2 linked regions of the Styela clava genome follow. The protein of the gene in region 2 purifies or fractionates together with the protein of the main gene of each other region. This does not show direct contact. Links are inferred from orthologs where the notes say so. Each region holds a gene or a part of one and is shown on either strand. Other genes may lie near its edges.

Region 1 (7,016 bases), on a different chromosome or scaffold from region 2:
TACAACTCTCGTCTTTTACCCAACCACGATCTCGAGACCAAACTGCGGGACCATGAGATCCTGTGTGAGTAGTTTTAAATTTGAAACTAATTGGGTCAGAGAGATTAGAAACATTGCAACCACTAACTCCAGTTTCCAGAACAATATTCTGTGTTATTGAGTTTGAATTTCCAAAGGTTGTGTTCGATAAGCTGTCTATACTATCCAGAAATTTTTGTTGAAATAGGCTCCCATTTCTATAGGCAATGAAGTAAAGCTTATATTGGCCAGTTGGACTTTCTCCACATGAATTAAGAAGGGATTTTGGCAAAGACACAGAAGATTGCATTTCTTGGCGTTTAAATTGAGATGTCTTACATTCAAATTTGAAGTTTTTAATACCGCTTGAAACCTTACATGTCAATCCATTACCTTCTTTATTATATTGTGACTTACTCTCCATCATAAATCCACTCACTGCGATATTTTCAGAAGCATCGCTGAACTCTGCAGAAGATGTTCCTTTCAGTGCATAGCTTCTTACAACTTTCAAAATTTTATCGCACGCTCCAGAAGCTTTTTGTGCCTCTCTTAAAAGAGATGCATTGGCATTCATAGCATAGCTTGCTAATCCCAATATTTCATCGCCCAAATCATGCCTGTTGCCATGAACCATAACATCCATCAATCTTTCCATTAGCTGACTGATTAACTGGACAGTGAGAGATTCTGTGATGGGTGTGGGAACTTGAAGCAAGCCAAGATTCCTTATCAACTCCTGAACTAAAGATTCTGCATTACGTGATGTAATATCTTTTAAAGAATTGTGTATCAATCTAGTTGCCTTGCTTTTGTAAGGGCAGTGGTCATAATGCTCCAATGACCAATTCCCACTGGAACAGCTTCGATATGCCTTGTTAATATGCATTTCACCAGGCATACTTCGTGATAATGGGCATTTGATGGACTTTGTTATGCCAGATACCGTTGAGTTCCACGTAAAGTCACCTCTGTTATTTTCAACTTCCCTTCTAGGGCAGTAACTAGAATTATGACTTATGACTATAATTCTGATAACTCTATTTTCACTTCCATGTTCTGATGAAACCATACAACTCCAATTTCCACTGTGATTCTTAGAGAGATTTTTTATCTGTAAGAATCCCATAATAATTGGTTCATACTTGCTGATGGCTGCATTTTTTACAATCAGGTTTTCGTCACTCAGATTAATAGATATTCTGTTGAAACTCCAAGTTATTTCAGACGTTGGCAAATTTGTACCTTCACATTGCATAAAGAATTCATCACCTTCAAAAACTAATTGATGGGAATCCGGTGTTATTTCAAAATAGGGCAAACTTGATAATGTATTATTTGCATCACATACAAAATCATCCGTAGTCAAGCTACGAAGCGAACGTCCCCTCAAACTTAGGGGTAAGTGACAAGTTCCATATACTCTTACTGGAGGGTCTTTCGTATCGATCCAGATTTTGAAATCATGCATAAGGCAGTTGCAAACAAAATCAGTAGATTTCACATACAATTTTCTTAATTTTGGAAGATTCGAAAATGAATCTCCAGGAATTATGGGAAATATGTTTAAGGAAAGGTCCAGAACTTCCAGACTTGGTAAACCCTCAAACATATCGGCGGATAAATGTCCAATGCTGTTTGAACTCAAATTCAGTCGTGTCAAATTTGTAAAAATTGAAAACGATTTTGGAGATATTCTTGAAATTTTATTGTTTGACATATCCAACTTTATAACTTGTTTTAATATTTCAAGTGTGTGAAGTTTTTCTCCAAAAATATCTTTATTTATTTCTTTCAAATCATTATCAGTAAGATCTATGGAAAGTAAGACAATGTCGTCTGGAAATTCCGCATTAGCAAACATGTCAGCAATATTGATTCTGTGACAGTCCATTTTCTTGCCTTGTATCTTGGACTGTCGTGACTTGTTCCTGCAGCCGCATGACGTGTGGTAATTGAGAACACATCCATTTGACAGAGATGCAAGTAATAGGATCACAGGCAGTAATATCTCGGGGAACTCCATCATACTAATGATCAAGAAGTCATGAGCAGTTTAATGGCTGCCACAAATGTGTTATAGTTATCACGTTATCATTTCAACCATAATTATATTTAAACATTAATTCTAGGATAAGATAGGATTTACATATTTATCCCGGGGGAGAGGAAAGGCGATAAGACGGCTTAATCATATGGCGAACCACGGCCTCTCACCCGGTTACCAGTCCAGGTCGGGTATGGGATTAGATAGCCAGTTATTTGTTCTGGAAAGCATGGACTTGACTTGGACTTAATGGTGGAGGAAGCCGTAACCGACCAGTGGTTACGTGAACCACCCTGCGGCGGCGAGGAGTCCAGCAATGCTCTCGCACATGATCATCCCTGCATGGGATTCGAACCGGCGAACCCACGAAGGGTAATTAGAGATGCGGTGAGGAGCGTATTTCTAACGCTTAGCACGATAGCCACACCGCCGAGCCAATTCTAGAAATATAGTAAAATATTACACTATTGAAGTAATCTTAATCGGAGACGTTCACGTAAATCTGTTTGTTGGCTGCTGGCTAGTTGCATGCTTCTCCGCCATTCAGTACATGTACTGGTAGTCTATTTATAACAAACAACTTATCACAGAATACAGTCTTGTGTTTCCCTATTTTTTTTAAATCCATTTCTTACCATTACTGAATTACAGTAACATTCAGACATTAGTGACACTGCGGTACAGTACCGGTATCAAAAAGAGAGACCCGATCAGTTAAAGCGGTTTATCAACTAAACTTTGTCAGAAAAGTTAGGCCAGATATAGCCTATGTACGTAAAAGAGGCAAGTGTAAAAACTACTAAAGGCAATGTATGAAATAATACTAGTCTAAATCGTAAATATATACCACTACTAAATAATTGAAATATTTTTGAAATTGACTCTGGTCGAAGCGAAATAGTTTGGCTTCGGATTCCGGTACCGGCAAGTGTCGAATCGTAGCCTAGCCCTAGAACAAAATTATTTGCGGACTCATTTTCTGTCCTTTTTTATTTTGATGAATTTATATTGTCACAACGCATTCCGACAGTTCGATACTGGATTTCCTGCGAGGGCCTTGCAAACGGTATGGTACGGGACCGGTGTTGACATGCACAAATCAATGTTTAAGTTGCTTATTTTACTGTAATTCTATAAAAAAAAAAATTACTATTGATTTTTAATATTGGTTTGTGCGAATAAAATCTCTCTCGCTCTATGGTTAACCAATTAATGTTTCTCCAAGCATCGATTTCTTTGTTTATATCTATACCAATGACCATTCAGCATGAAGTACACGATGACGTAACAATGGCAATTTTTGCAGACGCTCGGACACATCCAAGCGGGACACATCGTTCACCCAGACCAACGACTAACATACCCAGACATAGATTAGATTCTCAAGCATTGCTATAAAGTGTAAACAATGCCTCGTTTTCGTGTTTTTTTCTCGTGATATTTGTAAGATTTCAGCTGTGATTACAAAAATTAGTTGTAAATGAAGTACCGTGTTTCCCCGGAAATAGGACCTACCCTTAAAATAGGACCTAGCATAAATTTTAAAAATTATTTTAATATAACGCGAATTTATTTTTGACCTAGTCGATAGCAAGAAATCTCCCCTACACGTTTTGAATGATTAATAACCTGTGTTTTGCAGTTATTTTGAATAAAAACGAATATAATTGGGTGGTTCACGTAACCGCTGGTCGGTTACGGCTTCCTCCACCACCAAGTTCATGCTTCCGAAAACAAACAATATATAAATAATCCCATACCCGACTTGGAATGGTAACCGGACGAGAGGCCGTGGTTCGCCATATGGATAAGCCGTCTTATCGGCTTTCCTCTCCCCCGGGATAAATATGTAAATCCTATCCTATCCTAAAAACGTGTTATTTATAAGTAAATAGATATGTCAATTTTCATATTTTGTATATTTGAAAATCTCCCAATTTTCTACGTTGTAATTTTGTTTTTGATAAATGGAAATATAAAACATCCCCCAAAAATAAGCCCTAGTTTTATTTTTCGAAAGAAAATTGAAATAAGACCCAGTCCTATTTTCGGAGAAACACGGTATGTAAGATTCCGATCCCAACACCACGGGGAATCATCATCATAACGCAAATGCTTTGGCGTTGCCATTTCTTGATTCTCGGATTGGGTTGAGGATTCTGATTGGTTGAGGTTAAATTGTATTGAAGCTGACGAGACCGCAAGGTTAAAGAAGAAGCAAGTGAGAATTATTATTTTTTTAACAAGAAATGCAATCATCGATTCAATAGAAAAGTATTAGAAACAAGATAGCAATGCTCAAATATATGGACACATCCATCAGAGCGAAGCAGTTCTCACTTTGACGCAACCGGTACCACAGAGATCCGGTACCTACAACGCTGCTCGTCATAGCAGAGTAAGAATTTCGTTATACACCACCTTCGTTCGATGAGCACGTGATCAAGAAAACAAAAAGAAGAGTAAAAACAAATCCATTACGTGTCAAAATAACGAATCCCAAAGTGCTACCAGGAATATTTGAAATAAATAAAAGTAACACCCTTCTAGAAAGAAAAATTCATCTTTAACCACTGAAAATTTTGAAGAAATTGGTCCAATAATCAAAGAAAAAGCTATAATTTAAGTTTTCCACTAGGTATCCAAAAATAATGCAAAACAATCGTTATGCCCACTGACGTGTCCAATAAAATTGTTTGGTATGAACCGGAGGGAACAATACGGCCGCACGGTCATCGAGGTCAACTCCCACCATACGCGCTGGTTTGATTAAGATTCACACTTGAAAATGACTAGTTAGAGAACTTCACAATAAAAGGTTTTTACAAGTTTTTGGAACAAAATTCCTTTGTATTCCCAAGTAACTTCATTGTTATACCAGTGTATGAGTGTGTGAGAAGTTAAGTTTTTCAAAATGAGACATAATTAGTTGAATACTCAGTTACACAATAAATTTTTGTCTATTTTAGAGTTAGACGATAATAAATAATAGCCTACTCTATGAAAACATTAAAAAAACTAAATACGAAAAAAGAGAGTAATAAGAATATTCATACACGGCGGAGCAGGGACAAAAATTATAATGTGGTGAAAATTTGTCATACCATGAAAAATAATTAAATGCAACTCAGTGGTATAACTCATCTCCATTTCCACCAATAATAAAAATACTTTATTTAAACATTCACAATCAACTATTGAGGTACACATTAGATCAGCATAAGAGGCATTGTGAGGCTTTATTCAATTTCGCAAACAACCGCACCTTTAGGAGTGCATCGTTCAATCTGCAGCTACACGAGAAGTAAGCTATGTGTAATCGCTTGCATTGCATACTCAAAATATGACCGATTTCCTAAATAAATAAAAACCATCTACAATGGTACGACGTATGAGATAGAAGCACAGAGGATAATACCCCTTCAATGTTTAAAATTTGTGGAGTCATACATAATAATTCTATATACGATTGAAGGATATTTCGGGTCAAATGATATATTTTTTTTCATACTGTACAAAAGAATAAAAGTTTCATAAGAGGAAAAGGGTATCGTTCGCAGGTCGTTGTGACGCCCTCCTGCACCCAAGATGATGCATCTGAAACAACTAATTGTGCTCAACATACTGATGATTGGGCGGCATGTTCAGGCCGCTTTTCTTCTTCTGCCTCTAAAATTTAGGAATGTATTATATTTACGTTTTTACGTGAACTTCGTCGCTGTTTGTATTACTTACGTGAGATTGCGAGCACATTCATTAATTTTTTCTGTTTCAACACCACAACACCTTGTCAAAAATAATTGTTATTCATTAAAACAATATAAAGCAGAGACAATGAAGAATTCTGAATATTCAGACTATTTGAAACGAAAGTGTCGAGAACATTGTGAAAAGTAAAATGAACGGCAAATAAAACGGACTATTTATACGAAAACCCGACAATTTTAAAGAAAATCATACATTCATTAGTTTGGCAACCCACACGATCCGATGCCGATGCCAGCCGATGAACGGCTTACGTTGAGACATAGATGTATGTTCTTTGAACGAAGGGAGCATTTTTTACTTAATACGAGGTATTTAGAGCTCCTAGAAATAAAATCCTAGAGATCTTGCATATAAAATCATAGCGCCTACTAAAATAGTCTGGAGTTTACGCATCAATGTAACAACTAATAAATGTGTGCACTTTTCGTATTTTCAGCTCACGTGACCACTTTTTAAATTTACTATTACAAAAAAAAACGGGTTGGTAAATAAAAATCCCAAAAATCCATATTTCGAAATTTCAAACTTAGTCCCGAAATCCCGTCGATTTTGTAAGCTTAGTACGATCAATGAGCATATATATACATGCTCATTGGTACAATGTTCTAACGTTTGAACAAGGGGATCCAAAGACAAGAAATGGATCAAATTGTGTAGATACGGACAGCATTTCCACATTTTGGTTCATTATTCAATAATACTCATAATTTCCAATACCGCAAAGGCAATCACAAAGTACGTTGGTATCACGAGTTTTTTGGAAGTTGTGTATGGAGTGCGTTTTTATAGGCATTTTAGGTGCAACTTTTTGATGTAAGTTCTAATGTGGTAGTTGTCGGTATTTACAGGGCGTGCATCGTGTGGGGTTGCAACTAGGGGGTCATGAGGTTTTTCATGTGTCATGTGTGATATACATTTACCAGGTTAACGTCATTATAGCATTAACAATGAGAAAGGAAATATTTTTTAAACTTCTGCAAAGGCATACTTACACATGCCTCTCTCATCAATATGGAATCTATTTTGCATTTGCTGGAATTGTTCTTGTTTTGTATTCTATGTTTCAATTCGGCGAGGTAAGTCGACAACATATGAATAGAATAAAAGCATAGGCTATAGCCTAAGTGTTTACACATTCTCTAATCTATATAGTAAAGCTTGTAGTTCTGTAGTTAGTTCACCT
Region 2 (6,993 bases):
TTTCACTCCATACTGCCATATAAACGCTATTCGTTCGCCACTGTCACGTCAGCGAAATCCTACATAAAAATATACGATGTCATAAAAGTATGTTCCCACTTCGCGAAGTATTTCTAATCAATAGCCACGGAAACCCAACCCTAACGAAATTTTAGACCTCATTTGCTCAGTGCAATTAAATTATTTTTTATTCATAAATTTTATAATGAAACACTTTTTATGACATCGTATTTTTGAGCAGCAGGATTTCGCTAGCGTGACAGAGGTCCTCGTTCTTCCTAAATCCTAGTTCCATTGCTGGTGTGTTTCTAATTTTTTTTTATTTTGGTTGGTAGGCATGTTACCCACGTACTTGTACGTAGGGATGGGCAATGTAGAATAATTTATAGTTAAATAGATCCGAATCCTATTCTAATTTCATATTTATTCAATAGTGGGAGTTTTCCACATTGCTAGATTTAGATGTTAAAAAATTGTAAATGTATTACTATAATTGTATTATTTATTTGAAAATATCCTTAACTTATTTAATATTAAACCGGCATTTCCAAGGACAATAAAATCTAAGAATATTACAATATTTTTGCCTTCAATTGTTCCAAATGTATGTCATCTCTAAATGCTGATATGCTAAATTACGACGTGCGTTACACGGTTAAATACAAAAATAGATATGAAACGGCATTAAATCATTATTAATGTTGCCCAGTGTATTAATGTTGCCCAGTGTACTAAAGTGCCTAGTGCACTAAAACACATCCGCTGAGAATTAATTAAATGCAGGTCCATCGTATGGCCACTGCAACTTATGCGGCCGTTGTAAAATATTAAATTTACCCACTATCAGTTAAATCAACTTTTTATTCTGTGCGAGCAAGACTTGAAAAACAAAGTTCCCGTAAACACGATTTCATAATTAGTTATTAGGTAATAACATCTGAAGACGAATTTATTTTCTATTATTATCGCTAAATATCATTATCTACCAAGACTTGGCCGTACTCACACTCAATACGTAGGTAACTATCTTCGCCAGATGCGCCATCATTTTTTAAATTTATCCGCGACTAAAATACTACAGACACTCGATCAAACGTGCGTCTTTCTTTAACGATACAAACGGACCGAAAAATATGTAATCTTTTGAAAGTGAAATTTAAATGTAACAGATTGTCGTGTTTTGCCATATAACTTTGTATTTCGGAAAATGGTGTAAAAAAATTATTATTGTTGATAAATTAAATATTGTTGCAATTAGATTATCGGAATATCGCCAGTTAATCAGGACAAATAATTATTATACCCTAGCTAGATAACAAAGCAGGAAAAAGCAAAAATAGTGCAATAACGAGTCTTCGCCGTGAGGTGTACTTCGACGACTTCTTGTCCAGAATACGCCGATTGAGATTACAATTACAGTGTTGATGTCAATCAATCAATCAATCGTTTATTTTGTCATCACAAAAAAACACGTTCAAACATAAAGTGACACAATGAATAAATTACAGTACTAATCATGTTTTTGCGTGACCGGAGTCGCGAGGGACTCCGATTGTTAACTGTTAACTGACTGTTAACCGATTTTACGGGTTCTTTGTGAGCAGACGCAAGTTTAATTAAACGAGAGAGATTTCACGCGAGAAAAAGCGCCCATCTTTAATTGATAAATTAGAAACCCGAAATACAAAAATTGATGAATGGCGCCGGAGAGGCGGAAACCGAATCCTGTTATCAGATCCTGTTGGATTCGAATCCTCCGGATTAGGTATTCTATATTGCCCATCCCTACGTGTACGTTTTTTAACTTTACTTCAAGTTACGCTCGCCTTCCAGGTATCTCTGCATTTTGTTTTGTCTGTTTACTTTTTGTGTTCTTACATGTCAAATAAACGAAATAAAATGATTGATTGAAGGTTATTCCACAGAGTGTTTTCACTTTGTTAAATATGGGAATATGAATTGTTTGAACATATACGGATCTGGAATCTATCAATCACAATAACACTATAAGAGGCAATCAATCTCTAGAATGCTGGTATTGCAACTGTAAATACTGAAATACAGAAATACCACTGGAATGATAAGCAGTGGGGGCATGAGTGCCAAAAGTATCCGGAAGGAAGTCACTAGTCATTGGAGGCTGGGAATCACTGCTGTACTGCAATATATTTTTGTATTTTTTTCAGATTTTCATGAAAACATTATAGTATTACTTATATCAATAACAAGATATAAGATCTGGTTAGAAAGAAATGCTGTTATATTTCAAAAAAAGATACCTAACGTTCAAACAGTCATAAAACAGATACAAACTTCAATAACATGTCGGAGAAATATAGAAAAAGTTCGAAAATTACCAAATTTCATAAAGGAATTAGAATTTTTAACCAACTGTCTGTGATTATATTTTGAGTAAATGTATAGTTGCTAATATTGTTTTTTTTTTCTATTTTTATGTATAACAAATAATGCTTAACTAATGTATTATTAACTTGTAAACATCTTGATATCACTGAATTGATATTACAGTATTACGGATTATATATGGATTATTGAACATTGGAATACTGAAAAATGGAAACTACGTCGGATATTATGGATTACAGTTTGGAATAATAATGATTGTAAAATTTTTTTTTCCCATTATTTCTATGATTATTACTGTATCACATTTAACACATTTGTGAGCGTTTAAAAAAAATAAAAATAAAAAAAACTTACTAATTTATAGACAATCGCAAAACTCATTAGATTTATCTCTATTTTTATTTATTCATGTTATAAAAGTGTTCCACTGTCAGACTGTAAATCTGACAGGAGGATACAGGGTTACAAGCTGACAAATAATTATTATTTTCCAATTAAGTCATAGATAGTGAGGTTTTGGATGAAGTAGTCAGGTAGGGGTTAAGGATAACTGAATAACATATGCAAAAATGATCATTCCAAGCCCACTAGAAGTAGCCTACTTCCGTACTTGTGGTACCTACTATATTACACTAGCAGACTAGACCCAGTTTCCCTAACCATCAGTCCATAATAATTGTTTATGGTTTATAATCTGATTGTTGATTTTTATGAAGATCTTGTTATATGTTCAATAAGGTTCATGAACAATGAGCTAAAGCGCGCATTTTTAAATAAATTTGAAAAAAAATCTGCGGCTTCTCTCTCAACATTTGAGCACAAAAATGGGGTCTAGTATAGTTTAGTACCACAAGTACTTCCAGTGGGTGTAGCGTAACGAATTTTGCATATGGTATTCCTAACCCCCACCTGACTATGCCATCCAAAAATTACGTCACCATCACGTCATATGGCTTGCCAAAGTATAATTACAATCGCCCGAAATGGCGTCTGCACCGCCGATAACGAACTCGCTAACGCCGACGATCTCTCTCCTATGGTGATCGTTGTGACGAAAAAACGAGAGAAATAGCTTGCTCGATTTCGGGTGATTGTATGTGCGTATTGGACGACCATCCGCATACTTTGGTTGGTCTTATTACGCCACTGTGACGTCCAAATGACGTAATTTTTCGGTGACGTAGTCAGGTGGGGGTTAGGATTGACATATGCAAAAATTGTTGAGCCAGGCCAACTAGAAGTGCATGTGGTACTAAACTATACCAGACCCCAAAAATGAAGCTTACCAATACCTAATTACCATAACATTTAATGTGAATCTACAGTTGCAATACCAGAATTCTATAGTTCAGTAGATTGGGTTACACTTTTTTTTTGTGCTTAGCTCCTTGTTAAAATAGCCAAGTGTTGTTTGAAATGCAATAATGCAGTAATGTTCTAGTGTTCTGTTAAAATAGCTAAGTGTTGTTCGAAATGTAATAATGTTCTAGTGTTCTCTTATTTCAGTATTTGGTTGCTCTCAAATATCTAATGAATCTGTGAATGGATTACTTTTTTCACTATTTTATTTGTATTTCTATACCAGCTATGTAGACCGAGATATTTATCTTTCAATATTATATAAGTGCTTCTACACTGCAGAATGATTACTCTGAGAATTTCTAGAGACATAGCACAGAAAGCAAGTAAAAATGTACGAAGACATTTTGCTTCAATTTCTAAATTATATTCAACAAACACTGATGTACAAAATGATGGAATGACTGAACCTCAACACAGAAGTGAACATGTCAATAGGGTAATTTTTGCTGGAAAAGTTGAGAGAGGATATTGTACTAAAACCAAAGGTATCAAGATGTACATGGGAACGTATTTATATCTAACAGTACAAGTTAAAGCAAACAATAAGTCACATGAAGCTATGCAAATGCTTTCAACAATAAAGAAAGATATGAATATTCAAGTTATTGGAAAACTTCACCAAGTTAGATTAGCAAAATTAGTAGATGAAAACGAATCTCGAATTGTTAAAACTTATCTAGCGACATATATTTTAGCAGACACTGTCGAAATTTTCAGCAAAGATGAAGCTTCAGAAAAAATAAAACAAAAAATTAAATATTGGACAGAGCATGGATATGCTCCAGGAACAACAAAAATTATTGGAAATCTTTAACGCCTCAGTGCTTATATCTAAGAAAGAATGCATAATCTTCTTAATAAATTTGTCTTAAGAAACATTTTAAAATTAACTCATGAGATTACTGTGCGGGGTGGTTAAACTGTTAAATTTAATTATGGTGGCATATCAAGTGAAATTCGAGTTTAAATCCCATGTCTACCAGCTTACACAGTATTGATAATTAATTTTGAAAGATTGGGACAAACGAATTGTCCTATGTGTTCATACATCTGGTCTGCTTTGGAATGAATTGAACTGAATCATATTCCAGTAGGACGCTGCAGAAGTGTGTGTACCAATATGGAGGTAACTAATTTTGTTCGCTTATTTTACATCAGTTTGTGTAATGAGACTGAAGCCTGTGGGCAGGGGGTGTATTCAGTTGTCTAACACAGCCAGTCCCCGAACTCGTAATATAACATAAATAGGGAAAATCAGAATAAAATTATGGCCTAACCCTAACCTGGTACACACACTACGGGAGTACTCCCAATAGTCCATTGAACAATATGTTATTCTTTCTTTTTGGATGAGATTGCTCTTGATCAGTAAGTGACAAAACAAACATTTAATATAGAGTTCTATAAAGAGAGCAACTACACCTCAGTTGTTTTGAGCTTATCATTTGTACCAATCAGTTTAGTATCCTTTAGCTTATAAATAAAAATTTCTGTTAGAAAATATTATATGACAATAGAAATATTATCAATATTTTTTGTATAGAAATATTTTCAAATCTAGGATATCTGTTTTCTTCCTTCTGTATTGGAAAATAAGTTTTATGGGTTGAAAAAAAGTAAAAAATACCATATTATACAATATAGTATATATTATAAAATATGGTAATAACAAAACCTTTTTTGTTTAGAAAGAAAACAGATATTCTAGATTTTATCTTTATATACGTTACAATCAATCATTATTACCATGCTTCTAACATCAGTATCTCAAATAAATTACCGTACATCATTAATCTATTACATAACTTTTCTATCATCCTCTATGATAAGAATATCAGATGTTTAAATGTATATTATGATCCTTAATTTATCTGTATGCATGAATGTTTCGAATAGGATAGGGAACAATACATTGATTAAAATACTATCTTTTCCTATAACTGTCATTGCTTTGAGCAAAAGAATTTGAAATGATGTAATAACTTTGTGGTGTTATTTCTGATTTAAGGTTTGGTCTTCGCTTTCTTGTACATTTTTATTGCCTCTAAAATTGTAACTTTTTACTTTGCTTTTCCAGAACAAAATGGGCAGGTATCAGCCACCCGTTATTCTGCTGTATTACTTTTCAATATTTTGTTTGTTGGCCCAGGCGAATATTAATTTGTATCTCCCCGTAACGGAAGTTGAAGACTTATTTGGAGCTGATGGAATGGAGTTATATTATATCCGCAATGGGATTATCAACCAGAATGCCATATCTTTCATGGCTCATGTGCAAGAAGATAAAGATACTCTCAACTTTATGTGGAAGGCGACTGATCCTGACACAAGTGTTTTGTATGACTTGAAATTTTCGTCACCAATGCATTCTGATAAGGAAGAAAAGCAATTGAAAAGTCCAATGCATGCTCCAAATGCGACTATTAAAAACAATGGTAAACTTCCTAATTATGCTGCACCGTTTTCAGTTAACTTAAAATGTACTGGATTGGAGGATGGAGAAACTGTTGTTCTTATTTCATTAGTGTTTAGACTTTACGACAACCCAGCAGAAACAACCAAAGTAGAGCTGAAGCGTTTGAAAAAATGTTCAAAATTCAAACAAAATGTTCCAGTCGCTGAAAATATAAATCCAAGTAATGATAACTCAAATGCCCCAGAGAAAAGTAATGAAGACGGTGACACAAATAATGGAAATCAGCCAAAGTCATATGACCCCACCCACAGCAATTCTCAGAGTACAAAAGCTTTTTATATATCGATATCAGTTGTCACATTTATCATCATAATGGCAGTTATTATAGTAAGAATCTGGCATAGGCGACAGCGTAAAGCAGAGGCGGGGACATATTCAATGAACCATGTGTCAGCTAACATGCATCATAACAACCAATTCTTGAGGCCAGATCTACCAAATAATGAAACTGCACCACGACCAGCCCCGGGATCTAACGCAAGCTGGATGCATTTCACTCCAATTATCAATGACTTAGGAACTGATGTTGTCGACATAAGAGCCAAATTATCTGCTATTGCTGTTCCTAAGTCTGATGTTGTACTCGAAGAAATGCTCCAAGAGGGAACATTTTCACGTATATACAGGGGTTACTTGGAGAAGAACGTACCGGTGCTTATCAAGACTGTAACCAAAGCAGCATCTGAGGAACAAACCAGATTTCTTTTATTCGAAAGCTCACTTCTTAGGGGTATGCAGCACAATAATCTTCTCACAATTAAAAATGTTGTTCTTGATGGACCAGAGCC

Evidence for each region. Proteins that work in one complex are often made in the same cells at the same time.
Region 1: the proteins of tyrosine-protein kinase RYK-like (region 2) and adhesion G protein-coupled receptor A3-like purify together in Homo sapiens (affinity purification with mass spectrometry; 3 studies listed by BioGRID and IntAct, with this or other methods). This does not show direct contact. The link is inferred for Styela clava from reciprocal best matches to the Homo sapiens genes RYK and ADGRA3.

What each region holds. Positions count from the first base shown.
Region 1 is NC_135258.1:16,969,080-16,976,095, forward strand, and holds the start of adhesion G protein-coupled receptor A3-like, read right to left. Parts: upstream 3,018-7,016; 5' UTR 2,048-3,017; coding exon 1-2,047. Other genes in the region: N-acetylglucosamine-1-phosphotransferase subunits alpha/beta-like, read left to right, coding at 6,781-6,909. UniProt on the Homo sapiens protein: Orphan receptor that may have a role in planar cell polarity pathway.
Region 2 is NC_135257.1:16,879,143-16,886,135, reverse strand, and holds the start of tyrosine-protein kinase RYK-like, read left to right. Parts: upstream 1-3,966; 5' UTR 3,967-4,849; coding exon 4,850-4,855; intron 4,856-5,806; coding exon 5,807-6,993. UniProt on the Homo sapiens protein: May be a coreceptor along with FZD8 of Wnt proteins, such as WNT1, WNT3, WNT3A and WNT5A. Involved in neuron differentiation, axon guidance, corpus callosum establishment and neurite outgrowth.